Oryctolagus cuniculus: one gene and its partner. The main gene of each other region encodes a partner of the protein of the gene in region 2 in a complex. Links are inferred from orthologs where the notes say so. Each region holds a gene or a part of one and is shown on either strand. Other genes may lie near its edges.

Region 1 (15,715 bases), on a different chromosome or scaffold from region 2:
GAATTGCAAGGTTTTCTTCCTTTCTCAGGCCTAACATGATGCTCCCTCTTAAAATTGGCAGCAACTTAATGAAATACAGTATAAGGATAGCATAATAAATATAAAGAAACTATGCCTCTCCGATAACACACACAGAGACTTGCAGATTGCATTTTGAAAACTGAGTTCTGTGTTGTCCACAAGAGACTCAAATATGAAAATGTAGAAAAATGACAAGTGAAAGAAGGGTGGTGGGGCCAGCATGGTGGCGCATTGGGTTAACGCTCTGGCCTGAAGTGCTGGCATCTCATATGGGCGCCAGTTCGAGTCCTGGCTGCTCCACTTCCGATCCAGCTCTCTGCTGTGGCCTGGGAAAGCAGTGGAAGATGGCTCAGTGCTTGGGGCCCTGCACCTGTGTGGGAGACCCAGAGGAGGGTCCTGGCTCCTGGCTTCAGATCGGCGCAGCTCCGGCTGTTGCAGCCATCTGGGGAGTGAACCAGCAGATGGAAGACCTCTCTCTGTGTGTCTCTACCTCTCTGTAACTCTGTCTTTCAAATAAATAAAATAAATCATTAAAAAAAGAATGGTGGTGATATTTGAAAGCTGCCAACAGTAACAGCAGCATAACTGCACAGAAACCTGTAGTCAACAGCAGAATCGAGTTTCAGGGCAGGGGAACTGTCGCAGGTGGAAAGGGTTATCGCCTGTAGGCGAGGAACAATTTACCAGAAAGGACAAAGGGGGTGGCCGTGTGGCCTACTGGGTAAGACCCCAGTTAACATGCCCGTGTCCCATATCAGAGCCTGGGTCTGAGTCCCAGCTCTGATCTCTGACCCCAGCCTCCTGCTCATGCAGACCCTGGGAGGCAGCCATGTGAAGGTCCAGCACTTGGGTTCCTGGCACCCCCAAGGGAAACCAGGATGAAACCCCAGGCTCCAGGCTCAGCCAGCCCCGGCTGCTGTGGGCATTTAGGGAATGCACCAGCAGAGGGAAGACCTCTCTCGCTCTCTCTGCCTTTCAAAAAAACAAATTCTTAAATGTTTCAACCACATCAACATCAGCCAGAAAGCTATTTATAAAAGGGTAGGTAAGGCCGGCGCCACAGCTCACTAGACTAATCCTCCACCTTGCGGCGCTGGCACACCGGGTTCTAGTCCCGGTCAGGGCGCCGGATTCTGTCCCGGTTGCCCCTCTTCCAGGCCAGCTCTCTGCTGTGGCCAGGGAGTGCAGTGGAGGATGGCCCAAGTGCTTGGGCCCTGCACCCCATGGGAGATCAGGAGAAGCACCTGGCTCCTGCCATCGGATCAGCGCAGTGCGCCAGCTGTAGTGGCCATTTTGGGGGTGAACCAATGGAAGGAAGACCATTCTCTCTCTCTCTCACTGTCTAACTCTGTCAAAAAAAAAAGGGGTAGGTAAAATGCTACTTATAAAATATTTTAAAATACTGCACACTCTGTGTACATATACATGTGCATAGAGTGCAAAACCATTCTAGGGTCCAAGTCAAGCCATCTTCAGGACACTGCTTACTTCTGGAGAAAGGGCGGGGGGAGGAGAGAGAGGGAGGAGGGGGGAGGGAGGGGGGAGGGGGGAGGGAGGGGTGTTGATGCCTTATTTCTCTGGAAGAAAAGCAATCTGAGGCCGAGGTGTGAAAACACGGACACATCAAGGATGGCTTATAGTTGTGTTCATTTTCTCTACGTTCGAAGTATCTCACAATTTTTGTTTCTTTTTCCGGAAAGAAAAAACACAAATGTTGACGGCAGGCTAGGAAGCAGTAACACGGATTGTATGGCACATTTTTCCGAAGTGTTGAGTTCCGTTCAGCGTGGCTTTCTTGTTCTGGTCACTAAACTCTGGGACATGGAAGGGGGCTAGGAGGTGGAAAGTAACACAGTATTCATTTACCTCCCAGCCTACAGCAACCAGGAGAAGAACTGGACCCCACCCTGGACCAGCAAGCAGGACACTAGGATGGAGTCACCGGCAGAGGCAGAGCCGGATCCTCCCACCCGCGGGGCTGGCCCTGGAAACCTCCCCTCGCTGTCGGGGTGAGTGGCAGGGCTCGGCCAAGGCCACCTTCCAAAGTCACGGCCAAAGCAGTGGGGGAGCCAGGGAGCGGCCTGGGCCGTGGACCTGCCGGCCGGGGGGAGTCGCTTGAGACAGAAGGAGAGACCCTTCCCCAAGTTAGACCCGTGAGGGGCCGTCATTCGCCCGTGGAACAGAGAATCAGAAATCCGTCTGTGTTGGCGCCACGAACGTGGGATGCCCCTGCACGGTTGCCAGTGCACACACTTTCCACGAACCCCTGGGAGAGCCTCCGTCTGCACTGCAGAGAAAGCCCGCCCGTCCCACGCTGAGCTGAGGCCCCCTCCCATGGCCCTGAGCCCCGGAGCCCGGAGGGAGCCGTGACGCCGGGGGACAGGCCTGGGAGCAGAGCGCCCCGGGGTGGGCCATGAGCTCCACCCTGCCAAACGACCAACCGCAGCCACACCAGTGGTCCGGGTTTCTGTGTTCAGGAAGATGGCCTCACTGGGCTTCTAGATTGTTCTCATCGCGCGTTCCCTACTTTGAGCTTACGCCAGGACGCCAGCTTGTGAGGCTGTGGAAGGGGAGACGTTCCTGGCGTCTTGCTGTGCCCTAGACCTCACCTGTACACAGTGACAGAGGTGGAGCCTGAGACAGGGAGCCCCGTGGGGGTGGCCGGTCCCCGCCCCCTCCACGTCTCTCCTTAGCTCTCACAAACCTTAGTCTCACTACAGACGCGCCGCTATCCACACAGAGAAAGAGGAACACCTGCCCATGCCTGGGGAAGGCACCTTCAAGAACAAACAGTATGTATGCGCATGCATATAATATTCACCCACAAAGTGAATAGGATGTTAAAAATGGCTAAATCTTAAAAAAAATAATAAGTATTGAAAGAAAGAAGTCTGCCAGGAGACTTCTGGAAAGATGCCCGGAACACTGCAGCCCTCTTGTGACCATGAGGTCAGGGCTGTCAACACCCCTGGGGGGCAGGGCAGGGAAAGAATCTGGATCCTGGAGGACATTTTCCAAGTGCTATGAACCACCCTCCTGGACTGTCTGTGCTAGGAGATAATAATTTCCATCCTGCAGGAGCCAGTGTGCAGCCAGTCGCCGAGACAGGACAGACAGCATTGAGCCCAGAACCTGGCACCACGCTCTGAAGGGCGGCTCGTGTCTCTCCTCCACCCCAGCCCACTCCCCTCCAGGACAAGGGACCACGTGGCTCTGAGCAGACCGCACCGCGTCCTGAATCTGACCACTCTCATTTCCCCAGCGACAGTGGCGCTCGGCACAGAACCCCACCTGGGACAGTGTTTCTGGTGCCGGCACTGTGGCGCAGCGGGTGGAGCCGCCACCTGTGACGCGGGCGTCCCACATGGGCACCAGGTCCAGTCCCCAGAGCAGCTCCCTGCAATGTGCCTGGGAAAGCAGAAGATGGCCCAAGGACTGCGGCCCTGCACCCGTGTGGGAGACCCGGATGGAGCTCCTGGCTCAGCCATTGTGGTCCTCTGGGGAGTGAACCAGCAGATGGAAGACCTCTCTCTGTCTCTCTCTGTCTCTCTGTACACTGAACTTTCAAACAAATAAGTTAACCTTTTTCAAGAAAAAAAGAAAGCATGCCAGGGTTCATCTTTATGTTGTGAAATTATTCCAATACACTCAACGTGGTAACGCATCCACTTTTATTCTATACTCGACTATTATGCTACAAACCATGCTTCCATAAACTAAGGTTGACTCTCCTGAAGCATATGTGCTTCCAACAGCAACAAAGACGAGAAAAATCAAATGTTGTCACTTCCAGACAAAAAATGCTTTATGTGTTCCCCTGACTCTGGTCAGAAACAAACATAAAACAGGAATCAAGCCACCACCCCCAGGCTTTAGTGCCCTAATAAGTATTCATGTTACTAATGTCAAGTCTCCATAGCCCAGACCACGGCTTAAACCAGATTACACTGTAACCAGACGTAAACTCTCGCCTGGACCAACACTGCTTTGCAATAAAAGCCCTTTCCCATCCAGCAGCAGCTCAGAGGGGGCTTCAATACAATTCTCCTACATTAATTATAATTTTGCCAATACAAACTGTTATGCTGGGTGGGCGTTTGACCTAGTGGTAAGACCCCCAGTGGGGACACCCACATTCCCATGTTGCAGTGCCTGGATTTGAGTCCCCATCAGCTCCCTGCTAATGCACTCCCTGGGAGGCAGCAGGTGGTGGTGCAAGTCCTGGGGTCCCTGCCACCCACGTGGGGGGGCCCAGGTGGAGTCCTGGGTCCCTGCCACCCACGTGGGGGGGCCCGGGTGGAGTCCTGGGTCCCTGCCACCCGCATGGGAGACCCGGGTGGAGTCCTGGGTTCCTGGCTCCAGCCTGGCCCCGTCCCAACTGTTGCAGGCACTGGGGAGTGAACCAGCAGATGCCGGCTCGCTCTCTCTCTCTCTCTCCCTCTCTCTCTCTCTCCATCTCAAATCACCTTTTTTTTTTTTTTTTTTTTTTTGACAGGCAGAGTGGACAGTGAGAGAGAGAGACAGAGAGAAAGGTCTTCCTTTGCCGTTGGTTCACCCTCCAATGGCCACCGCGGCCGGCGCGCTGCGGCCGGCGCACCACACCGATCCGATGGCAGGAGCCAGGAGCCAGGTGCTTCTCCTGGTCTCCCATGGGGTGCAGGGCCCAAGCACCTGGGCCATCCTCCACTGCACTTCCCGGGCCATAGCAGAGAGCTGGCCTGGAAGAGGGGCAACCGGGACAGAATCCGGCGCCCCGACCGGGACTAGAACCCAGTGTGCCGGCGCCGCTAGGCGGAGGATTAGCCTAGTGAGCCGTGGCGCCGGCCTCAAATCACCTTTTAAAATAAAAAGGTTATAGGGTCTAGGACTTAACAACAAATACCCTCTGACTCCCAGAATTTTGTCCATTTTTAGGGTAAAAGCCCAACACAAAGGCACTCAGGAATGATACTGCACAGTTTATAAACATTATCAAGAAAACGCGTGGTAAACTGCTGGCCATTTCCCAGTGCACAGAGAACCTGATGCTGTGCACGGCCCAGGGAAGAGAATCCGGATATTAAGGGTTGCTTGGACCTGGAGCATCCTTGATTCCTAATCCAGAGTGCGATGTGCTGGGGGCTGGGCACTGGGCTGCTCGTGGTCAGGTGTGCCGCTGGCAGCCCCGCCTCCCTGCCCTCTGCCTTCCCCGGGGCCCCGTCACCAGCCCCCTGCTGGAGCCCGCCCACCGTCACAGCCTGTCTGGTGCTGGGTGCCAACCTTGGCCACCAGGCAGGTTCAGACCACCGTGCTTCGGGGCCAGTCAGCCAAGGGCTTCCAGAGAATGGAGGGTGGCCTGAAACGGGATGACTCGGCAGCTGGAGCTTCCACGAGCCCGGGGGACTGACTGTGAACTCTGGCTTCTACGCTCAGCGCCAGGGAAGGTGTCCTTGCTTGGCTCTGGCAGTTTGAGTTACAAGATGGTTATGGCGGAAGGAAGTCCCACTTCCGACCCAGCTCCCTGCTGGATCCCTGGGAAAGCAGCGAAGACGACCCAGTCGCTTGGGCCCTGCACCCCTCGGGGAAGCCCCTGGCTCCTGGCTTCGGCCTGGCCCAGCCCCAGCCATTGCAGCCACTGGGGGAGTGAAGCAGCAGATGGAAGACCTCTCTCCCCCTCTCTTTGTAACTCTGCCTCTCAAATAAATAAATCTTTAAAGAAAGAAAGCTCCCAAATGAGTGCACACTGTGTCCTCAAGAGCCTGGACACCCGCCCGTACTCCTGTGCAAATGAGAACAAGAACTGAGCCCGCGGGAGCACGCGCTGGAGTGGCTGGAGAGGCAGCACCACACTGCAGGCGCCATCTTCCAAAATGGCGGCTCCATGTAAGGGAGCAGTGACCTCCAGCGAGGGGCACGCGGCCTGTCACCCACAGGAGCCTCCCTCCCTGGTGGAAGAGAAAGCAGGAGACAGCTCTGTAAACATTCGCTGCTGGTGAGGAGGAAGAGCGCTCAAATACCCTCCCTGACCAGTCCATCTCCTGCTCCCGTCCACTCACACAGCTGGCCGCTGAAGACGCAACGCTTGGTGTGCTGCAGACCTGAGCCCACTAAGACGGGGCGGCCGTGAGGCCTGGTGGTCAAGATGCTGCTTGGGACACAGGCATCCCATAGCGGGGTGCCTGGGTTCCAGACCCAGCCCAGCCTCCACTCCGCTTCCTGTTGAGGGGCCAGGTGGCAGCCGTGATGGCCCAAGGCCTGGGGTCCCTGCCACCCACACGGAGACCCAGAAGGAATTCCTGGCTCCTGACGTCAGCCTGGCCCAGGCCTGGGTGTTTTGGGGGACTGAACCAACAGAGAGAAGCTCGCTCGCTCTCCCTCCCTCTTCCAAATAAATGTTTTAAATCTTCAAAACGTCAAGTACCCAGCGTCACCGGATAGAGTTTTAAACTCTCTGAACGTGCGATACTCGTTTCTCTGGAAGAAAAGCAGCCTCTGGAAAACCGGCTGGTGTCTTAGGTAACATCCAAGAGACGCCATCAGGTGCAGAGGGTCCTCCACTCCACGCTCACATCACGTGTTCTGCAGGTGCGGAGCCCGACCTGCGAGAAGTCCGGCTGCAGTACCTTCACCCCAGTTTCTCCTGACACCCACGTGGCCACCCCGTGTTCCAGCTCCCTCCGGCCTCCCCCTCTACCTGTTGGACATCTGCTCCTGCACTCTGCATTATTCATTCATCCCCCACCCACCGGCTTCCCTGCCCGGAAATGCTGTTTTACATACAAGCAAAGTGTCCGCAGTTCTGGTCTTGGCGGGCACACTACCGCTGCTGGCTTTAGAAATCTTTCCCCCTCTGAAAGCTTCTCAAGTAGTCACTTATTTTTTTTTAATTTTCCCATTTATTGGCAAATTTCAGATGCTATTCATAGACGATTAAAAATAAATCTTTCAGGATTTTATGTAAGTAAATCTTTCATGATTTTATGTCCCAAATCAGTAAAAAGTTTCCCCAAATTGCCTATAACATGATTTTTTAGAAGTCTGAACTTCTGTCTGCTTATTTTTTTTACGCAGGCTTAATACACTTACCAAAAATTTCCACATTCCACATCATCAAAGCTTTCATCTTGTCTCCAAAGAAAAAAGGAGAAAGAATCGAATGCCAGTGAACAGCCAAAACCAACTATTTGCAGCCTCGATTTTCAAATGTCAGGCTGTTTTTTTCCCTCATTCTGGTCAGTTTACACGGCGCGCAAGTCTAACCATCTCCGCGTGACATTTCCCTGCCCAGCAAAGGCTGGGGGAGCCCCTGAAGCCTTCGGAGGTGGGGGCCAGGTAGAGCAGCGCGCATGCGCCCTCGCCAGCCTCACCTGTCCCCTGACTACGCAGTGCCCGCCAGGAGCCACCTGGACCTGGAGAGGCTGGTGCCTTCCCCCTCTCTGGGCCGCGTGGGGGCTGGGCTCTGCAGCAGGGGAAAGGAGTGGGGGAGAGGGAGGAGAAGGGGGGGGGAGAGGGAGAGAGAGGGAAGGGGGGAGAGAAAGGAAAGGAGGGAGAGAGGGAGGGGGAGAGGAGGGGGGAGAGAGAGATAAAGGAAAAGAGGAGGGGGAGAAGATAGAAGTAGAGGGGGAGAGGGAGAGAAGGGGGGAGAGAGGAAGGGAGGGAGAGGGAGAGAAAGAGGAGAGAAAGGGACGAGGAGAGAAGTAGGAGAAGTGGGGGGAGAGAAGAGGAGAGAAGGGGGAGGGAGGGGAAGGGAGAGAGGAGGGGAGAGAGGGAAAGGGACGTGGAGAGAAGTAGGAGAGAGAAGGGAAGGAGAGAGAGGAGAGGGGAGAGAGAAAGGAGGAGAGAAGGGGGAGAGGGGAGGGGAGCGAGGCGGGCGGGGGCGCCGGCGCCGCGGCGCTAGTCCCGAGGTTACAGTAATTACCGCCGCAGCGTGAGTCCCGCGCGAGCGCTAAGTGGAACAGCGACATCAATTAAACAACAAACGCTCCGCACCGGGAGAAAGACAGCCCCCCGCGACGGCCCAGCCGGCGCCCACCAACCTGCGCGCACCCCGCTGCCGGCCGGCGCCCCCCGGCCCGGGCGGGCACCGCAGCCCGGGGCAGCCCGCCGCGGGTCGGCCGGCCGGAGCTGGTGCGCTCCGCGTGGACGGGCGTGAGCCGAGCGCACCCAGACCGGAGCCCGAGCCCCCCCACCCCCCCGCCGCTGATTTACAAGTTTTTGTTTTGTTTTCTTTTTTTCTTTTTTTAAGAAGATACTGGATTGTTTTGCAAGAGGGAGCCCAGCGTCCCAGCGCCACCCGAATACCGACACAGTACCCTCCCCCACCCCGAGCCACGCGGCGCGGACAGGCGCCGGGCGCGCACCTGACCCGCAGCCGCTGCGGGCGCCCGGGGCTCCGGGCCGCGAGCCACGAAGACCAGGCGGGCGGCGCGGGCCTCCACCATGCGCGCGGGTCGCCCGGCGGGGAAGAGCGCGCCTCGCCACCTGCCCCCGAGCCCAGCCCCTCTGCGGGCCGCGCGGGGCGCTGGGGAACCGCCGCCGCCCTGCAGCCAGCCCCCAGGCGCCGGGCCCGGCCGCCCGCACAGCCCGCGGGGCCCCGGCCCGCCGGCGGCCAGGAGGCCACGCCTCCCGCGCGCGGACCCCGCCCCGCCGCCGCCGATTGGCCGGCACTAGGGGGCGGGGCAGCGCCGGGGCCGTATAAATATTCATGAGCCGGGCGCGCGGCGCTCGGGGGGCCGCGGCCGGGAAGTTGGGTGCAGGGTGCTGCTCCCGCCGAGGCGGCGGCGGGGCCGGGCGCGCAGCTCGGGGGTCTGCTGCGCTTCCGGGGCGAGCGGGGCGCGCGCGGCGGGCAGGAGGAGCGGCCCGGGGCGCGGCGCGGACTTGCGCCCGAGGAGGAGGAGCGGCCGGCCAGGCGGACGCACGGAGGAAGCCGGCGGCGGAGGCGGGCATGAGCGCCCGGGGCCCGAGACGGGGTTGACCGGGGCCCGGCCGGCCCAGCCATCTTGACTGCGCGCCGCGGCGCGGGCGGAAACTTGCGGCGCCGCCGAGGGGCCCTGCGCGCGCCAGGGGGAGCGAGCGAGCGAGCGGGTCGGGGCCATGCGCCGCGGCCGGGCCGGCCCGCCCCGCGAGAGCTGAGCGCGGCCCGCAGCGAGGCGCAGAGCCCGGCGGCGGGCGGCCGGCCCCGCTCGCGGGGGCCGCGGGCGCGCGCGCGCGGCATGGAGTGGGGCTACCTGTTGGAGGTGACCTCGCTGCTGGCCGCCCTGGCGCTGCTGCAGCGCTCCAGCGGCGCGGCGGCCGCGTCGGCCAAGGAGCTGGCGTGCCAGGAGATCACCGTGCCGCTGTGCCGGGGCATCGGCTACAACTACACCTACATGCCCAACCAGTTCAACCACGACACGCAGGACGAGGCCGGGCTGGAGGTGCACCAGTTCTGGCCGCTGGTGGAGATCCAGTGCTCGCCGGACCTCAAGTTCTTCCTGTGCTCCATGTACACGCCCATCTGCCTGGAGGACTACAAGAAGCCGCTGCCGCCCTGCCGCGCCGTGTGCGAGCGCGCCAAGGCCGGCTGCGCGCCGCTCATGCGCCAGTACGGCTTCGCCTGGCCCGACCGCATGCGCTGCGACCGCCTGCCGGAGCAGGGCCAGCCGGACACGCTGTGCATGGACTACAACCGCACCGACCTCACCACGGCCGCGCCCGGCCCGCCGCGCCGCGCGCCGCCGCCGCCGCCGCCGCCGCCTCCGGGCGAGCAGCCGCCGGCGGGCAGCGGCCACGGCCGCGCGCCCGGAGCCCGGCCCCCGCACCGCGGCAGGGGCGGCGGCGGGGACGCGGCGGCCGCGGCCCCCGCGCGCGGCGGCGGGAAGGCGCGGCCCCCTGGCGGCGGCGGCGGCGCGGCGCCCTGCGAGGCGGGCTGCCAGTGCCGCGCGCCCATGGTGAGCGTGTCCAGCGAGCGGCACCCGCTCTACAACCGCGTCAAGACGGGCCAGATCGCCAACTGCGCGCTGCCCTGCCACAACCCGTTCTTCAGCCAGGACGAGCGCGCCTTCACCGTCTTCTGGATCGGCCTGTGGTCCGTGCTGTGCTTCGTGTCCACCTTCGCCACCGTGTCCACCTTCCTCATCGACATGGAGCGCTTCAAGTACCCGGAGCGGCCCATCATCTTCCTCTCGGCCTGCTACCTCTTCGTGTCCGTCGGCTACCTGGTGCGCCTGGTGGCCGGCCACGAGAAGGTGGCCTGCAGCGGCGGCGCGCCGGGCGCCGGGGCCGCGGGCGGCGCGGGGGGCGCGGCGGCCGCGGGGGCGGCGGCGGCGGCGGGCGCGGCGGCCGGGGGCGGCGCGGGCGCGCGCGGCGACTACGAGGAGCTGGGCGCCGTGGAGCAGCACGTGCGCTACGAGACCACGGGCCCGGCGCTCTGCACCGTGGTCTTCCTGCTCGTCTACTTCTTCGGCATGGCCAGCTCCATCTGGTGGGTCATCCTGTCGCTCACCTGGTTCCTGGCGGCCGGCATGAAGTGGGGCAACGAGGCCATCGCCGGCTACTCGCAGTACTTCCACCTGGCCGCGTGGCTCGTGCCCAGCGTCAAGTCCATCGCCGTGCTGGCGCTCAGCTCGGTGGACGGCGACCCGGTGGCGGGCATCTGCTACGTGGGCAACCAGAGCCTGGACAACCTGCGTGGCTTCGTGCTGGCGCCGCTGGTCATCTACCTCTTCATCGGCACCATGTTCCTGCTGGCCGGCTTCGTGTCGCTGTTCCGCATCCGCTCGGTCATCAAGCAGCAGGGCGGCCCCACCAAGACGCACAAGCTGGAGAAGCTCATGATCCGCCTGGGGCTCTTCACGGTGCTCTACACCGTGCCCGCCGCCGTCGTGGTCGCCTGCCTCTTCTACGAGCAGCACAACCGGCCGCGCTGGGAGGCCACGCACAACTGCCCCTGCCTGCGGGACCTGCAGCCCGACCAGGCGCGCAGGCCCGACTACGCCGTCTTCATGCTCAAGTACTTCATGTGCCTGGTGGTGGGCATCACTTCCGGGGTGTGGATCTGGTCCGGGAAGACGCTCGAGTCCTGGCGCGCGCTCTGCACGCGCTGCTGCTGGGCCAGCAAGGGCACGGCGGGCGGCGGCGGCGGCGGCGGCGGCTCGGGCGCGCAGGGGCGCGGCGGCCCGGGGGGCGGCGGCGCGGGCGCGGGGCCCGGCGGCGGAGGGGGCTCGCTCTACAGCGACGTCAGCACCGGCCTGACCTGGCGCTCGGGCACGGCCAGCTCGGGGTCCTATCCGAAGCAGATGCCCCTGTCCCAGGTCTGAACGCGGGGGGCGCGTGCGTGCGTGCGCGCGCGCGCGCGCGGGATTCCCACCCACCCCACCCCCTTCCCCGTGGTGTTGACTGCTATTAGCATGATAATGAACTCTTAATGGTATCCATTAGCTGGGACTTAAAGGACTCCCTTAGAACAAAGTAGCTGGCATGGAAGCCCCCCGGGAGCCGGCCCCCTCCTCCCGCGCCGGGCGCTCCTGCCGCGCGGGCCCGGCTGGGTGGACTCCGCCGGGCTTTCCGGAGCCCCCTCGCCGCGTGCCCCTCGCCGACCTGGAAGCTAGCGCTCCACGATGCCGCCCGGAGACCCCCTGTGTTGTGCGTCCACTCTGGAGCGAGGGGCGAGCCGACTGCGGCCGTCCGGGGCTGCACGGTTTGGGTCAATCTTTCCTGACCGGGCACATGCCTTAAATAAGCAAGCAAGAAATGTCTTAATCACCCAATCCAAGTAAATACGGGTTTCTGACGTTAGAGGATGTATTTATATAATTATTTGTTACATTGTAAAAAGCAAAAACAAAAAACAAAAACGTGTACCATATGTATATATCCAAAGATATACAACGTGTACATTTTTTTTGTAAAAAGTGTAGAGGCGACCCCTGTAAGAACAAATATAAGTATTCTATTTTGTCAATAAAACGACTTTTGATAAATGATCGGAAGCTTCGCCGGCTCTCCCTGCGTCTTCTGAGCTGCTGCTGCCTTCCAGAGGGCTTGGCCAGCTTGGCCAGGACCAGGAGCCGGAAAGGGACTTTCCCTGGGGACCTTGGCAGTGGGGGGAAGGTACCGGCAAACGCGCTGGTTCTACCGCCGTCCAGGTCCTTGTGGGACTGACAGCAGAGTGGAGATCTTGGATCCAGCTCGCACCTGAGTGGGTGAGCCGGACGCTTCGCAAGGCAGCAGCCCCCTGGGCCTGGGCCCCGCCATTCCCCCGTGTCGTGCCCGCCAAGGTCTCCAGAGCCCACCTGGGCTCTCTGGCGTCTGGAGTCCGCAGAGCCCCTGGTGGTGCGGTCACTGCACGTGCTGCTGGGACGTCCAGGTGCGCTGTTAAAGCTCAGGGCGCTCTTGGCCGTGGGACTCACTGGACAGCCTGGTCGCGAGCAGGGGAGGGCTCAAGAATGGATTCTTCTCATGGGTTAACATCTTAATAATCATCCCTGCTTGTGTGTCCCAAATGTGCTGCCTTCTCTGGAGGAGAAAAGAAAACCTGTTATCCCTCTGTCAAGACTAAGCTAATGTATTGAAGCAGAAGGCTGCTGCATTAGCAGAAAGCTTCGGCAATGGTGGCGCTCCCTACCTGTCTGTCCAGTGGTTCTGCACACCATCCCTTCAAGAGGAGCCGGATGAATAGGGTTAATCTGTAGGGAACTTGGTCCTTTGAGTTGGAAAAACTTTGATCTTCGAAGGCGTTTGTAAAGGCCGCACTGTTCCGTCCTTGCAGCCGGCTCCATTGGCCACCACGGAGCCTGAGCGCTCGGCCATTGAAGGGATGTGGGACTTTTACTTTAAAAAGGAGAGGGAGCCAGGGGCCGGGAACACTTGTAACAGTCAGTGGGGACCGGGAGCACAAGTGCGCTCCGCCTTTTAAACAGCCATTCCCGGTATTGTTGGCCAGCCCGCAGGCTGCGAGCCTGCGCTGCGGCGTTGCTGAATGCCCTACAGGTGGTCTCGGCACAGAATCCCCCAATTTAAAGCCTTTTCCTTCCCTGGACAATTGCATTACAAAACTCCCTTCTTTCTCGCTCCTAATTGAACCAATGAACTATTATAATCTACAAGTTTTTCTTTAAAAAAAAAATCCTCAGTGCCTAAATTCTATTCACTAAATTCTGGGAAGTTTTCTGAACCCGGAAGTAGGAGCTGGTTCGGCAGAGGTTTCTCTCTTTTAAAGATATTTTTATTCCTGATGCTTGTTATTTTCTGACACATTAGCAATAATTTAAAAGTAATTGGTGGGATTGTGTGTTCCTACTGAAAAGATAGCCCCAGGTCCCTTATTAACCTGTCAATCAAGATAAGAACCGGGCAGATCCTCCGCTAATGATGGAGGCATCAATCACCGTGGTGGGAGGGGACTTGTCCTGGGCATCCTGCTAAGATGTTTCTTCTCTTTACTTCTCCAGATCGGAATCTTCGGTGGTTTTCTTAATAGGGTGGAAACTTCCGTACTGTGGGCGACTTCTCACGTCCTGACATTTTGCAAATCCTTCCCAGAGTCGTGCTTGCTGTTAATTGCATTTTTAAAAATCGGATTTACAGGAAGAACAGCGGCCCCGGCTCTCCCGCCAGTCCGCGTTTTCCGAGGCGGGGCCCTGTGAAACCTCCCCTCTGCCGCCATTGTCGTCATGAAGGGACCATGGGGGTGTGCCTTAGGTGCCCAGAAGGGGCCTGCTCCCCACCCAAGTGGGGACTGCAGGGCTGGAGGGTGCAGGTGCCACGAGAGCTGTACCTGGCAGACGGGGACAGAGCTGAAAGTCCTTGGTTGGCATGTTGGGCTTCCAGTGTGCCATTCCCATGAGTGACAGAGTTCTGAACATGGGCCACAGTGCCAAGTGGTCAGCTGAGGGGCTTGCTAGCTATTGGTTCTCTGAACCCTTGTCAAATGCCGTGTTGGTTCCTTTTACCAGGTGGCTGCTTGTGTTCAATTTCAGCAGGCTCATGAAGCCAACCAACAGAGCCCCTGTGGACTGCTGACACCCCCCTGCACCTGGGCTCCCCGCAACCCCAGCTGAAAGCCGCCGTGTGCTCGATTTCTGCCTTTGAGGCCAAAACCTGCCTGGCAAAGTTGCCCCATACCCAGTGCCATCTGCTCGTGAAATCAAAACCCCACGGCTGATTCTTTTGGTGCACCTGCCCCGGACACCCCATTGGGCTCCCAGGGTGTGACCTAAGTGACTATGAAACAAATATTTGTTTCTGGACACCTTGTCAAATACCGGGGTCCGTGGGGAAAGACGTCATTACTGTGTGGCTAGATCAATGTCAATAAAATCTAACCTGATGAAAACCTGCAGTCAGGCCAGAGCTCATTACAGCAAGCTGCCGGGGCAGCTGCGGGACCGGGAAGGACCACAGGGCACCAAGTTCAGCAGAGTTTAAGCGGCAGTCCCTTAGCCCTCGCGGGCTGCGCTGGGGCGCCCCGGTGCCTCAGAGCCTGCGGGGGAGGCCCACAGATCATCTTGCGAGCAGAAATCCACCGAGAGATTGCACAGCAGATGTGCTACTTCAAGAGTGGGTGCAGAGCGGTGCTCAGAGCGGAGCCGGCGCCGGCCGCTGTCCACAGTCGGTGCTCTGCTGCCATCTTGTGGCTGCACAGTGCCATTTCCCTTCCAATTCATTCAGAAAAACTGACGACCCAGATGGCAGACCCTGTCCCAGGCACCCACCTAGGGCTCCTGCAGGCGTTCTGTGTTCATCATTCCAAGTTCTCAGAATCTGGGGTCATGCCTGACCTCAAAACTGCATCTGTTTAAGGCCTCACAGGACATCACTCCCACACAGTTTAAGGTGACTTTTGCTAACCTCCGCTCAATCAATCAATCCTCAGTGTCACTGTTAAGCTAAAAATATAACTAAGGTCGGTGGCAATCCAAGTGCCTGTCTTCCTACAAATTCTTTTCTGCGTTACTCTTTTTTTTTTTTTTTTGACAGGCAGAGTTAGAGAGAGAGACAGAAAGAAAGGTCTTCCTTTTTCCATTGGTTCACCCCCCAAATGGCTGCTGCGGCCGGCACACTGCACAGATCCGAAGCCAGGAGCCAGGTGCTTCTCCTGGTCTCCCATGGGGTGCAGGGCCCAAGCACTTGGGCCATCCTCCACTGCACTCCCTGGCCACAGCAGAGAGCTGGCCTGGAAGAGGGGCAACCGGGACAGAATCCAGAGCCCCGACCGGGACTAGAACCCAGGGTGCCGGCACCGCAGGCAGAGGATGAGCTTAGTGAGCCATCGTGCCAGCCTCTGTGTTACTCTTATTTAAAGAGTGGAATGCTTGCCAAAGATCTGTCCTACCAACCCTTCAATGGAGGAAGAATCAGTAATAGAGACTGTTTGGAGTAGGCTTCAGTTTTCTGTTTATTTGAAAGCCAGAGTTACAGAGGAAGAAGGAGACTCAGAGCGAGGTCTTCCATCTGCGGGTTCACTCCCCAGATGGCTGCATTGGCCAGGCCTGGGTGAGCCTGGGGCTTCATCCAGGTCCCCCACGTGGGTGTAGGGGCCCAGGGACTTGGGCCATCTGTCTACTGCTTTCCCAGACTGTAGCAGAGAGCTGGATCAAAAGTGGAGCAGCCGGGACTCGAACCGGCGCCCGTACGGGATGCGGCAGTGCAGGTGGCGGTTTTACACCAGCTACTGCACTGCTTCACACGCCCCACACTTGGCTGTCGGCCGAGCCCAGTGTCAGCCTTTGGAGCT
Region 2 (15,227 bases):
TGTAACTGTGGCAGGGTATGTGTGTGTATCTGTACCTGAGGTGGTGTGTCTGTGTGTGTGCATGTGTGTGTACCTGAGGCAGGGTGTGTGTGTCTGTGTGAATATACCGGCAATGGTGTGTGTCTGTGTGTGTGCATGTGTGTACCTGTGGCAAGGTATCTATGTGTGCCTGTGTGTGTGTACCTGCAGTGGTGTGTATGTGTGCATGTGTGTACCTGTGGCGGGGTGTGTGTGTACATGTGTGTACCTGCAGCGGAGGGTCTTTGTGTGCATGTGGTGGGGTGTCTGTGTGTGTCTGTGTGTGTACCTGTGTGTGTGTGTCTGTGTGTACATGTGGTGCAGTGTCTCTGTGTGTTTATGTGTGTGTACCTGTGGTGGTGTGTGTCTGTGAGTGTGTGTACCTGTGTCTGTGTGTGTACCTGCAGCAGTGTGTGTGTCTGTACCTGCGGTGCGGTGTCTGTGTGTGTGTATACCTGTGTCTGTGAGTGTGTGTACCTGCAGCGGTGTGTGTGTCTGTACCTGCAGTGGTGTGTGTCTGTGTGTGTACCTGTGTCTGTGTGTGTGTACCTGCAGCAGTGTGTGTCTGTGTACCTGCAGCAGTGTGTGTGTCTGTGTGTACCTGCAGCAGTGTGTGTGTCTGTGTGTGTGTGCACGAGTGTTTGCTCCCGTCTGGCGCCAGCCCCTGCCTGCCCGTCTCCGAGCAACCCCGCCCGCGCCGCTGCCCACCCCACGTACAGAACTCTTCCAGACTGACTTCCTCCACCGCGTGGATGCCGGTGAGGTGGGCCACGCGGCCCTGCACGCGCGTGCGCTTGTCCCCGGTGGCCTTCTCCACGCGCTCGATCATCTGCTGCTGCCGGTCGGCCCAGTAGAGGTGCCGGCCGAGCACGGCCAGGCCCACGGGCTGCACGATGCTGGCGTCCTCCAGGGTCAGGCGGTTGGCCCCTGGGGAAGGGCACGGGCTTGGCTCAGGAGAACGCAGGTTCACAGGGAGGACCCCAGGGCCCCGCGGGGGGCCCACGCCCTGGCCGGGGTGGGAGCGGGGACAATTCCCGGGCACCAGGCAGATGGGAGACTCCACTGGGGCCCCCGGAAGCGCAGCACCCACCAAGAAGAAAAGCTGGGAGGGACCCCAGGCACCGCCTCCTGCTTCTCCCCAGCCCACAGGGTGCGACGGGAACCCCACTCCCCCCGCGCAGGGACCCCGAGCAGCCGGCTCGCCCTCCCTGGGCCTGGTCGCCAGCCTCTGGCACGCGGGGCCCCGCCGGAACCCGCAGGTGCACCTGCAGGGCCAGGCTGCGCGCGCCTGCGACGAGGAAGGCAGGAGACGGCCCACCTGAGAGGTCGCAGCTCTCGATGCGCTTCAGGTCCGCATCCACCCAGAAGAGCTTGCCCAGCGCGTTGTCCACCACGAGGGCCACGGGGCGGATGAGGCCCGTGGTGAAGAGGACCTCGCGCTCCGTGCCGTCCAGGGCCGCGCGCTCGATCTTGGCCGCGCGGTCCTGCATGTTGGTGAAGTACAGGTGCCTGCAGGTGGGGGCGGGTGAGGCACGGGCGGGGCAGGGGCTGCCCGGGCCCACAGCGCCTCGCCCAGCACCAGCCCAGGCCTGGCGGCTCAGTGTCCGGCCCAGGGCCTCGGAATGTGAGCTTAGTTAGGGACGGGTCTTCGGGGGGTGAGTCAAGGATCTCATGAGAGGGCGCTGCGTCAGGGCGGGCCCACCATCAAGGAGGTCCGAGCAGGCGCATGCGTGCCGGGGCAGCGAGGGGAGTGAGGCGGCCACCGGACAGAGTGCCTGGAGGGGGGGCCCTGAGGGGCGGGCGGCGGGGTCCGCTGCTGCATGGGACCCCGCGTCCAGGCTGGAGCCCTTGGTTCCAGCCTCGGCCGCTCCACTTCCAATCCGCCTCCCTGCTAATGCACGTGGGAAGGCTGCAGGTGACAGCTCCAGTGCTCGGGCCCTGCCAGCCACGCGGGAGACCCGGATGCAGCTCCCGGCTGCAGCCTGGACCAGCCCAGCTGTTTGCAGCTGTTTGGGGAGCAGGCCAGTGGATGGAAAATCTCTGTCTCCCCCTCTCTGCCATGCTGCTGCTCCAACTTTTTTTAAACAAGAGGAACCCCGAAGGCCACCCGAAGCCAGCAGGCAGTGCTGCTATGCCAGAGGAAGGCGGCCTGGAGCCAGCCCTGAACTAACCTCTGCGGTCGGCTTGTTAGAAGCCGCTCCCCGCCGCCCACCAGCACGGGCTGCCCCGCTGGGCCCCCTGCCCGTGACCGTGACCACGTCTGCGCGTCTGTTCTCCGCCCCGACCACAGGGCTGGGGCCCTAGAGAGGGTCGTCACTGCCTACCCTCGCTCGGCGTTGACGACGATGGCTCTGGGCCTGTCGCGGCCCCCACGCAGCACCACCCCCACGGCCTCCCCGCTCAGCCGCTGCACGTTGATGGTGTTGGTGGCCTCGCACGTCCAGAACAGCGTGCGGCTGTACACGTCGACGCTCAGGTCGTGCGGCTGCCTGTCTGGGTTCTGGCTTTGGCTCGGAGACGTCAGAATGAAGGGCTGCGGAGACAGCAGCGAAACCACATTGGCGCCAGGGAGAGCAGCCAGGGGCATCCCAGCGCGCCCGGAGGCCAAGACCCCAGCAACCCGTCCTCTCCCAACCTCCGAGTGCAGAGGCAGATCCGGACACCGGCTTCCGGAGGACTCGGCACCACCCTGGGTCCCAGGCCCCGTGAGCGAGGACGCCGGAGGGACCCAGCTGAGTGACACCGGTGGTCACGTCCCTGGCTCACCCCAAGTGTCCGCCAGGTGCGGGGCCCCAGGACCTCAGGCCCGGCCGAGACGTCTCCCTGCTGTGTCCCAGGATACGTGCTCCCAGGATGGAAGACCCTCAAGTATTTTTTAACTTAGGTCAGCAGATGCAGAGACCAGGAGACCCCTTTCACGGCCCCTCCCCCAAGGGAAAGAGGCCAGGGTGCAGGGGCGGGGGCGGGGAAAGAGGCCAGGGTGCAGGGGCGGGGGAGGAGAAAGAGGCCGGGGTGCAGGGGTGGGGGAGGAGAAAGAGGCCGGGGTGCAGGGGCAGGAGCGGGGAAAGAGGTCGGGGTGCAGGGGCGGGGGAGGGGAAAGAGGCCGGGGTGCAGGGGCGGGCAAAGAGGCTGGGGTGCAGGGGCGGGGGAGGAGAAAGAGGCCGGGGTACAGGGGCAGGAGCGGGGAAAGAGGTCGGGGTGCAGGGGCGGGGGAGGGGAAAGAGGCCGGGGTGCAGGGGCGGGGGTGGGGGAAGGGGGTGGGGGAAGAGGCCGGGGGCGGGGGCGGGGAAAGAGGCTGGGGGGGGCAGGGGCAGGGGAGGGGAAAGAGGCCAGGGGGCGGGGGCAGGGGCAGGGAAAGAGTGGGGGTGCAGGGGCGGGGAAAGAGGCGGGGGGCGGGGGAGGGGAAAGGGACCCCATCTCAGCGCCTCTCAGGGGCCTCCACCCAGCCCGTTATCCCCACAGCACTGCGTTGGCTGCATTTGGAGGATGTGTCCTGGCTTTGGGGTCTCCCGCACGATCCCTCCAACGTGATGGGTTGAGCAGGCGTAGGAAGCGGGAGGAGCCCAGAGCTGCACTCCACCCCAGAAGCCTGGCGCCTGGGACGACCTGGCCCCTGAAGCTGTCCTGACAGCCCGCACGTTCCGGCTCCTGGAGACCTGGCTGACAGAGGGGCGTGGAGCTCCGGGGCTGCGATGGCTGGGGGGAGACCCTCGGCCTCTAGGAAGGGGGGCAGCCAAGGGCGACCTCGCCCAGCAGGTCACCGGGGGCTGTCTTGGCTTGTTTCAGTGTCGACGAAACACGATGTCTCCAGGTGGGCAACGGAGGGGGCTTGCAGCCCAAAGGAGCCCCTGCCCCCGGCCCAGCCTCCTGGATCCGGCTGGAAAGGACCCACCACGGCAGCCCTGGGCTGGCCTCGCCGGCAGCCGCCAAGAGCATCCACCCTCCAGGCTCAGAGCAGCTCTGAGGACCTCGGCTCTGCACGGGCGACACCCGTGCCCCACAACACTGCCGGGCCTGGGCGCGTGCCCCAGCGCCACACAGAGCTCCCTGCCCGCGGATCTTGGCCGGCACGGCCAGGACTGGCTCACTGCACGGGGCAGGCTGCGGAAGCCGGGCAAACCCGGACTCTGCAAACCCCAGCTGTCCAGGACGAGCACCCGCGACACCGCCGGGCCCACGGCCCTCCCTGGGCGGCAGACGCTCGGGCTTCCTGGCTGACCGCAGAGCCCAGCTGCACCACGCAACGCTCACCCCAGCGCGAGGAGGAGGAGCCATCAGGGCAGACACGGCCCGTGGGGGCGGGGGCGGCACCAAGCCCTCATCCAGTGGGTAATGACCACTGTCCCGAATGAAGGAGCAGAGCCAGGTCCCCCAGGGGCCGAGCCGGCAAGAGCCACAGGAAGGGTGGGTTCCCAGCTGAGGAGCAGGGCGGAGCCTTCCTCCAGGCTGTTTCTTCAAAGCCTCCGCCCACTTCCTCCTCCGAGGCTGCCAATGGCCACTCCAGGCACCAAAGCACCGGAGCCAGCAGGAGGCACGGCCTCAGCTAACACCTGGGCCCTGCAGAGCGGTACATGCCACCCTCGTCCAGCAGAGGGCGGGCTTCTGTCCCCGCACCCAGCACAGGGCAGGTGCCCGGCTGTCCCCACACCCAGCACAGGGTGGGCTTCTGTCCTCACACCCAGCACAGGGCGGGCTTCTGTCACCCACACCCAGCACAGGGCAGGCTTCTGTCCCCGAACCCAGCACAGGGCGGGCTTCTGTCCCCGCACCCAGCACAGGGCGGGTGCCCGGCTGTCCCCACACCCAGCACAGGGCAGGCTTCTGTCCTCACACCCAGCACAGGGCGGGCTTCTGTCCCTGCACCCAGCACAGGGCAGGCTTCTGTCCCCGCACCCAGCACAGGGCAGGCTTCTGTCCCCGCACCCAGCAGAGGGCGGGCTTCTGTCCCCACACCCAGCACAGGGCAGGCTTCTGTCACCTACACCCAGCACAGGGCAGGCTTCTGTCCCCGCACCCAGCACAGGGCGGGTGCCCAGCTGTCCCCACACCCAGCACAGGGCAGGCTTCTGTCACCCACACCCAGCACAGGGCAGGCTTCTGTCCCCGCACCCAGCACAGGGCGGGCTTCTGTCCCCACACCCAGCACAGGGCGGGTGCCCGGCTGTCCCCACACCCAGCACAGGGCGGGCTTCTGTCACCTACACCCAGTACAGGGCAGGCTTCTCTCCCCACACCCAGCACAGGGCGGGTGCCCGGCTGTCTCCACACCCAGCACAGGGCGGGCTTCTGTCCCCACACCCAGCACAGGGCGGGCTTCTGTCACCCACACCCAGCACAGGACGGGCACCCAGCTGTCCCCACACCCAGCACAGGGCAGGCACCTGCTTCTATAACTTCTGCCCCGACTGCTCCCACAGAGATCCCAGCCGCCTGTGACCTCCACCACCAGCCGAGGACACACACCTGGCGCTATGACCTGTGAACTCGGCACTGGCGCTGGGCGACATACCTTGGCAAAGGGCCAGCCAGCTGGACAAACAGTGCCAGCCTCCAGCTTAGGGCAGGCCAGAAACGTGCATGAGGCAGCCCCGCACTGCCACAGCAAACCCCCAAGGAGCCAGCTTTCCTGCGAGGGCAGGTCAACGGTCAGCTCACAGTGAGGGGGTTCCAGGCCAAGACCACACAGCCCCATCAGCACGGCCTCCAGTGAGGGCAGCGGCACGCACGGAGGACGGGGCAGAGAGGGGCCAATCCCAAACTCGGGCTCCATGAGGACCCTCTGCAGAGCTCGAGGGGCCACACCCCACGACCTGAGGCCCCCCTCCAGGGCCCCTCCCAAAGGCTCGGCCGTCTGGGGTGAGCGCCATCCTGGGCCCCGGGCCTCTGGCACAGCAGGCCGTGGCGGACACTCCACCTGCTCAGCAGACACCGGAAACCACCCAGAAACCAGGAACGGGCAACGGAAGCAAGCTTCCCGCGGCACAGGCCTGCGCCGGGCGCTCCACGGACGGGGGACCCTTTGCTTCTGGGGTTTTGAGCGCTGTGCCCCAGCACTGCTTCTCCCATGAGCCCTGCGTGCTGTCGGCACAGAGCACCGACGCACAGGCTCACGGGAGAGTGGACCACGAGATAAAGGATAAATGGGCGTGACCAACAGCACCCACGCCCACGCAGGCACGGTCGCCCTGCACAGGGGGTCTCCCCCGGGCTTGGCCAGGCCCAGGGTCCCACACGGCTCAGGATGGCACCTGCCAGTGACGTTACCGTTCACCCTGACCAGGGCCAGGCTGCACAGGGGGCGGCGGCCAGGGGTCTCCCCACGGAAGCGGCGGTGCACTTGCCTGGGTGCCGTCGTCCTTGGCGCGCCTGATGGTCTGGCGCCCGTCCACCCAGTAGATGAACCTGTCCAGCGGGTCGTAGTCGATGGCGCGGACGTTCCGCAGCCCGTGCAGGGGCAGGACGAGGTCCGGGCTGCGCTGGTCGTCCGGGATCATCCGGCTGATGGCACATTTCTGGCTGAACAGCAAGAAGGCGGTGGGCGCTGGAGCAAAGCAAAGAGACCAGTGGGCGGCACGTTGGCGCCCGCAGGCTGCAGGGGACGCGGCCAGGACAGGCAGATGGACGGACAGGCGGAAGGACGGACGGGTGGATGGACAGACGGACAGCTGGCCTCCCTCCCGCTGGACTCTGAAAAGCACACCCGCACCTGCACGGCTGGATGTCCGCGGAGGAAGACCACAGGACAAAGGCTGTGCCCCCCCGTTGTGTGCAAGGGCAGGTGTCAGCTCTGAACCGGGGACGGCATTTACCATTAGAACTCAGGACCAAAGGAAAGGAATGGCAGCGAAGCCCCCACTCAGAGCCATGAACACGTGTGTCACCCACGAGTAGCCTGCGGTCCACCCACGCACGCCCATGTGGGCGGCTGACGGCACCAGGAGGGGACGGGCCTCGGGGAGTGGGGCCGGTGAGCCGCAGATAACGGGACAGCAGGGAGCCGCGTGCCGACGCCTGGAAGCCCAGTAAGGCGCAGTCTCCCTGCGGCCCTGGGTCTTGGTTTTCAAGGGAGCTGGGGCCTGGGGGCGCCCGGAGCTGTTCCTGGGCCTCCTCAGAGTGACACGGGGACACAAAGAACCTGCTTCCCAGGGCCCCTCCTTCACGGCGGAACGGGTCCAGACAGGAGCCCTTGTGGCCTGGTGCAGACATGGCACTCGGCCCGCGTGGAGGCCACCCCAGGGCACGCGTCCTGAAATCCAAAGTGTCATCCCAGGTCTGCCGGCCGCGGAGAGGGAACCCAGGTGACAACATCTGCTCCTGGCCCTGGCACGGCCTCCTGAGCCCCCAGGCTCACCCCCGGGAGGGCCATGAGCAGCGGGGTCACGGGGAACCGGGCTGCAGGGAGCCAGGCCCAGCGCCGGCCAGCTCAGGGCTTGCACGAGCCCAGGGCAGAGAGGGCCCGGGTGACGCCACGCTGTGAGAACTGTGGCCTGCGGCGCGGAGCTGAGCTACGGACACTGCAGCTGTCACAGCAGTACCCACAGCAGGGACACAGGAAGTCACCCCTGGCTCCTGAATGTCCCTGTTCTTATCACTGTAGAAGAACAAGATGCCCCCCCACACACACACACACAGAGGCCACTAGGAGACGGCATGGCCGCCCAGAGCCAGCCCGAGCCCAGCTGTGTGGCCTTGAGCAGGTGACCGCACCGCTCTGTGCCTGGGGCTCCTTGTCTGGGAATAAGCAGGGGCCGGGGGAGTCCCTCGCTGAATGCATGGAACAGTGCAGAGCGCCCCCTAGAGGTAGGTTTTCACATCCAGAGATGCCTCACAGACCCCATAGCTCGGCCGAGGCCACCAGGCAGCTCCACCGACTCTGTGTAGCGCACGACCTGCTCAGCCATCCCCGTGCACCCGGCTGAGGAGCCCCACGGCCCGGCTGCTGCAGGGGCAGGCACTCACGGCTGCAGTTGTGGGTGCTGGGGTCCAGGGTGTAGTGCGAGGCGCAGCCGCAGCGGCGGCCCCCAGGGATGGCGAGGCACAGCTGCCCGCACTGCCCATTGCCAGGCACGCAGTCGTTCAGGCCGTCCTGCCGCGATGAGTGGAACACCAGGATGTCCATCACAAAGTCCAGCTGGCCCTGGATGAGGGTGCGGTTGCGGCCGCTGGTCTTGTCGGCCCGCTCGATGCTGTGCAGGTTCCAGTCGGTCCAGTAGATGTAGTCGCTGTACTGCGTGAGGCCGAAGGGGTGCGGGAGGTCGTCGGCGATCACGACCCGCCCCTGACCTGCGGGGAGACCGCCCACCCCCGCGGTGTCAGCACGGCCCGGCCGCGGCACCCACGGGCTCACCCGCAGCCGAGCCTCCCCGCCAGGGGCCTGCACGCATGGCACCGTCCCCAGTGCCAAGTCCTACAGAGAGCCGCAGGCCAGCAACCACCCAGACGCCGGCCCCCAGGGGCCCCCCAGGGGGTCTTCACGTGACAGAAGTGGCCCAGGAACAGAAACCACAGCCCACGGGCCAGGTGGGAGCAGCAGGACACAAAACAGCACCTGCCATAGGACATGCTTCTAGAAGGTTCTGTGACAGCAAAGCTTATCCACCCAGACAGCACCAGAGGCAGTGACGGGCCGAGGTGGCTGCTGGGACACGTGGGGAGGAGCTGGGGGCTGGGAGCAGGGGCGGGGGCGCCAGAGCCGCCCCCCGTCTCTGAAGGAGCCACCTGTGCCGTGCTCCTTCAGCGCTCTGAGCTTGGCCGGCTGCACGGCACTGGAAAATCCCATTTTAACAAACCAAGCTCTGGGGTCCCCCAGCCTGGGCCACCCGGCTCCCCACTCCTGAGCACGTGGCCGTGGGAAAGCCCTGTCCATCAATGCCCGCATCTGTAACACCAGCATCCCCTGGGCGCTGGCTCAAGTCCCAGCTGCTCCACTTCCGATCCAGCTCTCTGCTGTGGTCTGGGAAAGCAGTAGAAAATGGTACAAGTGCTTGGGCCCCTGCACCCGCGTGGGAGACCCAGAGGTGGCTCCTGGCTCCTGGCTTTGGATCAGCTCAGCTCCAGCCTTTGTGGCCAACTGGGGAGTGAACCAGAGGATGGAAGACCTCTCTCTGTCTATCTCTCTCTGCATCTCCTCTCTCTCTGTAACTCTGACTTTCAAATAAATAAATAAATCTTTAAAAAAAGAAATTGGAGATCGACTCCAGGCCCCACACGGGCAGCAGAGACGGATGAACTTGAGCCGTGAGCTGTGCCTTGCAGGTGCATCAACAGGAAGCTGGATGGGAAGTGGAGCCGGGCTCCAGCCCAGGCACTTGGCTGCGGGATGCGGCTGTCCCGAGTGGCGCCTTAACCGCTGCGCCAAAGCCCACCCGTGTCCAGTCTGGAAGTTGATGATTTCATCCCCGGGAACGGTCACTTTAAAAAGGGCCTCAGGACGGCCTCCCCGTGACACACGCGGCCGGGCCCGAGCTGAGAGAGGCTTCCCCCGCACCAGGTCAGAGACCTCGCGCCCCAGGAGCTCTGCCAGCGAGCGACCATCATCACCCGGGGAACCGGGGCACATGCATGACAGCAGAGCGCCGGGGCCACGCCAGGGGCTGCTACTCCAGCCTCCCACAGTTAACCAGGCACTGCCACAGACCTGCGCCCCCCCCCACCAGTTAACCAGGTGCTGCCATGGCCCTCCAGCGTCCCCCCATGGTTAACCAGGCACTGCCACAGCCCTGTAGCCCCGCCACGATCAACCAGGCACTGCCACGGCCCTCCGGCCCCCCCACGGTTAACCAGGCACTGCCACGGCCCTGCAGCCCCCCCCCCAGTTAACCAGGTGCTGCCACGGCCCTCCGGCGTCCCTGCGTTAACCAGGCAGGCACTGCGTGGCATCTGAGGCAGGCAGAGGGGAAACTGCACGAGGCAGGGGCCGGCTAGGCCCTTGGCACAGGGTGGCCATGCTCTGGGGTTTCAGTTTTGGCTGCCTTGCCCGCAGCCCGTCCGCACACCGGGTGATGGGCGAGCTTCGTCACCTCCGGCCACCATGGCCGTGCTGTGACTGGTCTCACCTCGGGCCAGAGCCCTCACGCCCGGCCTTGCGACCCCGGCACTGGGAGCCTCAGGGTGCAGCCCGCCCTCCCGAGACGCCAGCTCCTAGCTCCGGCCCTGGGACGAGGCGTTCCGCTCGCCCACACCTCAGGTTCTTCATCTGCAAAATGGGCACAACCACACCCCTGCAAACGGGAGCCGCGGTGATCTGCCCCCTCGTCTGCCTGGGGGCCCAGACCCGAGCCCACAGAGCCCCAGCCCGTCTGGCGTTCCACTCCCCCAACCCAGGGAACAGGGGGACAAGAGCACCCACAGGGGATGCTGGGAGCCCGAGCAAGCTCCCAGCACAATGGCGGGCACAGGTAGTGGCCCTGGGCTCCGGGGGGCTCCCCAACCCCTGGGCCTGTAACTGGAGACCACGCCGCACGGCCTCCCTGAGCCGGTCTCCCCATCGACGCACACCTCCGCCGCAGGCGTGGGATCAGATGAGAGTCTCGGTAGCAGGGTTTGCCAGAAGCCGGGACCCAGCAGCAGCACGGGAAATGGCCGGCAAACATCAGGCCTCTCCCCAAACCCCGGCTACAGCACGGGTGCCGGCGTGGAGGGCCGAGCCCGGCCGCCCGGCCGCTCACCCAGCATGTCGGACGACTCGATCATGTTGGTGTCCAGGTCAGTCCAGTAGAGGCGCTGGTCGGCGTAGTCGATGGTGAGGTCATTGGCACGGCCCACTTTGTCCACCAGCGTCACGCAGTTGGTGCCGTCCATGAAGGCGCGCACGATCCTCGGCTTGCCGCCCCACTCCGTCCAGTAGATGTAGCTGGGAGGCACGGGGGGCGGGCGCAGGGCTGAGTCCACTTCCGGTGCAGGGGCCAGGTGGCCCTCACCAGCTCCCCCGTCAGCCCCCCGCTTCCTGGAGACCCGGCTGAGGCCCTGCTGGGGCTGTCCCCGGGCTCCTCCCTGAGCTCCTGCAGAGGCACCTGCAAGGCAGCTGAACGCCCACCAAGACACAAAAGCAGGCGCTAAAGCATTCACATGCAGGCACTGCCGCAGGGACGGACGCGAACCAGGCTGGGGGAGACCGCGAGCGCCAGGACCAGGCCGGGAGGCACCGCGGCACCGGGATTCGAGCTCAGCCCCACGCCGCCTCCCCCAGCGGCTCCTCCTCCTCCTCCTCTTCCTCCTCCTCCTCCTCGACAGACCCAGAAAGGATCTCGTCCTCGTCCGGAAACTCCTAATTTTTCTTGCAAAAACCTGCCCCTCCGCTGTCGCAAGTCTGCCTTCCGTGCCCATCAGAGTGGCACCACGCAGCGTCTGGGCTGTTCCAGCCCCGTCACGGTCAGGCTACAGGGTGGGTACCAGGAAGAAAACCCAGGCCCCCAGGCCCCAAGAGGGCGCCAGGCCCCTGTGCCTCTCGAGCGGGCCTAGCTGTGGCCCAGCAGCCCCGAGGAGCCCATTCTGAGCAGCCCGGAATCCAAGGACCTCAAGGCCAGCTCTCCTGGGGCAGCCGGGCCTCGTAGTGAGGAACAGAGGCCCGGAGGGAGCCCAAGAGGCACCTGCTGGCCTCACCCCGCTCCACTGCCTACTGACCCCGGGCGGGTCCCCGAGCCTCCGCTGCACATCTGGGCGATCAAGGGCACGGACACCTGCCCCGTGCAGGCTCCCAGGAGGCCCAGGCGACAGTGGCCAGCTTGGTGCCTGGCACAGCAGCTTCCGGCCCCCTGCCAACACTCTGGCCTTGGTGTCCCGCCAGTCCAGGCCACGTGCAAGCTAGTGGCAGCCGGCACAGCTGTCATACTGAGCGCAGACGCCGCCGCACGGGCTGACGGGGGAAAGGTGGGGGCCCGTACCCTTACCCTTTGGTGGGATCCAGGGCCAGCGACCTGGGGTTGTCCAAGTCCCTCCACACCAGGACCTGCCGGAACCGCCCGTCCAGCCGGGCCACTTCTATCCTGTTGGTGCCGGTGTCGGCCCAGTAGAGGTTCCTGCCCATCCAGTCGACAGCCATGCCCTCGGGGTAGTCGAGGCCAAACTCGATCACGTGCTCCACGGAGCTGCCGTTCATGAAGGCGCGGCTGATGGTCTGGGGCGGGGGAGGGGAGGGGCAGGCGTCAGAGGCCCCGGAGCAGCCGGCGACTGCGCTCGGGACCGGCTGGCCAGCACTGGGCGTCCAAGGGTGAGCATTCAACGCGCAGCCCAACAGCACCCTTGTAGGAAAAGCAACCTGGGCGTGGCCACGTGCATCATGCAAACCTCACACAGACATCGCTCTCAAGTCTTCAAGACGTGCAGCTCACACCCGCGATCTCACCGCTGAAACTACCCCAAGGGACCAATAAAATACAAGAGGGGGCCGGCGCTGTGGAGTAGCGGGTTAAGCCACTGCCTGCAGCGCCAGCGTCCCAGCTTGAGCCCCAACTGCTCCACTCTGATTCAGCTCCCTGCTAAGGCAGCTGGAAAAGCAGAAGATGGCCCAAGTGCTGGTTCACTCCCCCATGTGGCTGCAGCAGCCAGAGCTGGGCCAGGCAGAAGCCAGGAGGAGCCTGGAGCTCCATCTGGGTCTCCCGCGTGGGCACGAGGGCACAAGCTCTGGGCCGTCTTCTGCTGCTTCCCCAGGCGCGGTGGCAGGAAGCTGGATGGGAAGTGAAGCAGCCGGGACGTGAACCGGTGCCCACGTGGGAGGCCGGCGCTGCAGGCAGCAGCTTAACCTGCTACATGGCAACACCATCCAGTTTGCCTTTTCAGACTTCTTTATGTATTTGAAAGGTAGGGTTACAAAGAGACAGAGAAAGAGCGAGATTATCTTCTATCCCCTGGTTCACTCCCTAAACGGCCACAATGGCTGGGCCAGGCTGAAGCCAGGAGCCTGGAGCTCCACCCAGATCTCCCACGTGGGCCATCATCTGCTGCTTTTCCCAGGCGCATTAGCAGAGAGCTGCATCGGAAGTGGAGCAGCCGGGACTCGAACCAGTACTTGAATGGGATGCCGGCGTCACGGGCAGAAGCTAAACCCGCTACGCCACAACGCGGGCCCTGCACTTGAGCTCTGAATGAAGGGATGCGCCATGCGGACAGGCACTGGGGGCGGGGGGCGGCGGTCACTGTCAGTTAGGCCCCGGGCTACCCCTCAGAAGCCAGGGTGTGTGTGTCCACCGGGTCTGCTTGCCATACCCACCCCTGCTTGTCATCAGCCTGAATCTACTTGCAACAAACCCCACCACTCTCGTCAGTGACAGGCGCCGAGCCCTGGCCGCCCCGCCCACTGCAGACGCTACCTTCAGGCTGACGTCCGTCCAGTAGATGTGGCTGCTGCACACGTCGAAGTCCAGCGCCGAGGCCTCCTTCACGCCCGTGAGCGGGATGGCCACGTCGTTGGTGTGGGTCTCCAGGGAGATCCTGTGGATGGCGGCCCGGCTGGTGAACACCAGGAAGGCCTCGGGCACAATGCAGGTCTGCAGGTCGCTGAGCAGCTCCAAGCCGATGGGGCAGCCGCACTTGGTGGCGCGGGGCGTGAAGAAGCAGAGGTGGCTGCAGCCGCCGTTCCCGTCCGCGCACGGGTTGGTGCCTGGAAGCGAACGCACGGCCTGCAGGGGAGCGCGGCGAGGGCGCCGGCAGCCGAGGGGACCGGGAGTGGGGAGCCCACGGGAACCAGGGCTCGCCTCCTGGGACCCTTCAGTTCACTGCCACCCCCAGGGACCTCCCAGAGTCAGGGTTTATGGCGCAGCTGCAGGCGCCTCTGGGCTATGGGAGCGGTGACCGGAGCGGCCCTCTCTACAGACCAGCCTCTGACCTCAGCCTGCCGCCGCGGCACTGCTAAGGTCGGTTTCACATTGGTGTGAAGTATTTCAGCTAAAAAAATCATCTTTTCCCAGACCAAGGGAGAGCCGGAGGCAGCCGACGCCTCAGCTCCAGATCACAGCCCCGCCGTCTCAGCCCACTCGGAGCCGCGGGCTTTCACGGCTCTGTTCCGGACATCACTCGGAGCCCCGGGTCTGCAGCGGGCAGGGCTTCGACAGAGACTGCCCCCACGGCCACCCCGACTGCCTCCGGCCAGGCCCTTGCTCAGCCGCCCTCCCCCCACCCCCCGCCCCCGTCCCACACTCAGTCACCCCCACTTCCTGGATGCAGCCAGGCGGGGCACTGGACCCACCAGACTACAAGCAACCTGGCAGCAAGACTGGGCTCGCGTTCGTCCACTCCCTGATCTGCCCGCACAGTGCAGGCAGGAGCCAGGCCCCGGGCCCCATGGAGCCGCCGGCCCTGGCCCTGGCCCGGCCCTGCGGCCACGGCGTCCAGTGTAACCTGTGCACCTGCATCCGGATTCCTTTCCAGAGGGAAATCACTGTGTCCAACAAAGACCTCCTGGGCGAGATTTCTGCGGGGCCCAGGCCTGGACACCCTGGACAGCGACCACAGCCTCTGGGAGGTCAGGGCAGACCCGGGGTGACTGCCCAGCTTGGCTGCCTGCTCACTGAGCAGCTGCGCTCCCACCACCCCACCACCACCACCCCGTGACAACAGGGTTGCTTTGGGCACTGAGGGGCTCTGTCAGGGCCTAGCACACACAGGCACTCAACAACACAGCCACAAATACAGCAATGGCGACCAACAACCCCGGGCCACACCACTGACCATGTCCTGTCAACATCCCACCCCCAGCCGCCGTCCTGCCCTCCAGAGCGGCCCCCCACGGCCATGTGGGTCCTCCCAGCCAGCGCGGCACAGCCACGGCGTGGGCCCCCGACTCACCGACGACCTTGGCCACGTTCACGGCCTTGAGCCCCATCAGGTCAGGCAGCTGGTCGATGATGACGTCCCGACTGGCCTTGACCTTGTGCACCCGCTCGATGCTGCGCCGCTGCCAGTCCGTCCAGTAGATGAAGTCCCCCAGCAGCGTGAACCCGAAGATGTGCGGCAGCTTATCCTCCAGGAGCGTCCGCCGCTTTGTCCCGTCCACACTGATCACCTGGGGCGGCAGACAAGGGCCTGGAGGGCCGAGGCTGCGCCAGCCACAGCCGCGGACCCGAGCTGCCCGGGAGCAGACAGCTGCGACTCCCAGGAGCCTCCGCTGCACCTGCCCCTGCCGGGTGCTACCGGCTCCAGCCGGACAAACGACATTTCCGGCATGCGACTATCGTCTGGGCCAGGGAGTAGTGACGGGCGCCAGCTCGGGGCCC

Evidence for each region.
Region 1: LRP5 (region 2) and FZD8 share a complex: the UniProt entries of both Homo sapiens proteins name them as parts of the wnt-signaling complex. The link is inferred for Oryctolagus cuniculus from reciprocal best matches to the Homo sapiens genes LRP5 and FZD8.

What each region holds. Positions count from the first base shown.
Region 1 is NC_091444.1:107,143,563-107,159,277, forward strand, and holds FZD8 (frizzled-8), read left to right. Parts: upstream 1-8,716; 5' UTR 8,717-9,212; coding exon 9,213-11,297; 3' UTR 11,298-11,963; downstream 11,964-15,715. UniProt on the Homo sapiens protein: Receptor for Wnt proteins. Component of the Wnt-Fzd-LRP5-LRP6 complex that triggers beta-catenin signaling through inducing aggregation of receptor-ligand complexes into ribosome-sized signalosomes.
Region 2 is NC_091432.1:4,141,973-4,157,199, forward strand, and holds part of LRP5 (low-density lipoprotein receptor-related protein 5), read right to left. Parts: intron 15,017-15,227; coding exon 14,800-15,016; intron 13,616-14,799; coding exon 13,326-13,615; intron 12,134-13,325; coding exon 11,907-12,133; intron 10,871-11,906; coding exon 10,686-10,870; intron 8,302-10,685; coding exon 7,978-8,301; intron 6,560-7,977; coding exon 6,360-6,559; intron 2,552-6,359; coding exon 2,343-2,551; intron 1,528-2,342; coding exon 1,337-1,527; intron 946-1,336; coding exon 736-945; intron 1-735. UniProt on the Homo sapiens protein: Acts as a coreceptor with members of the frizzled family of seven-transmembrane spanning receptors to transduce signal by Wnt proteins.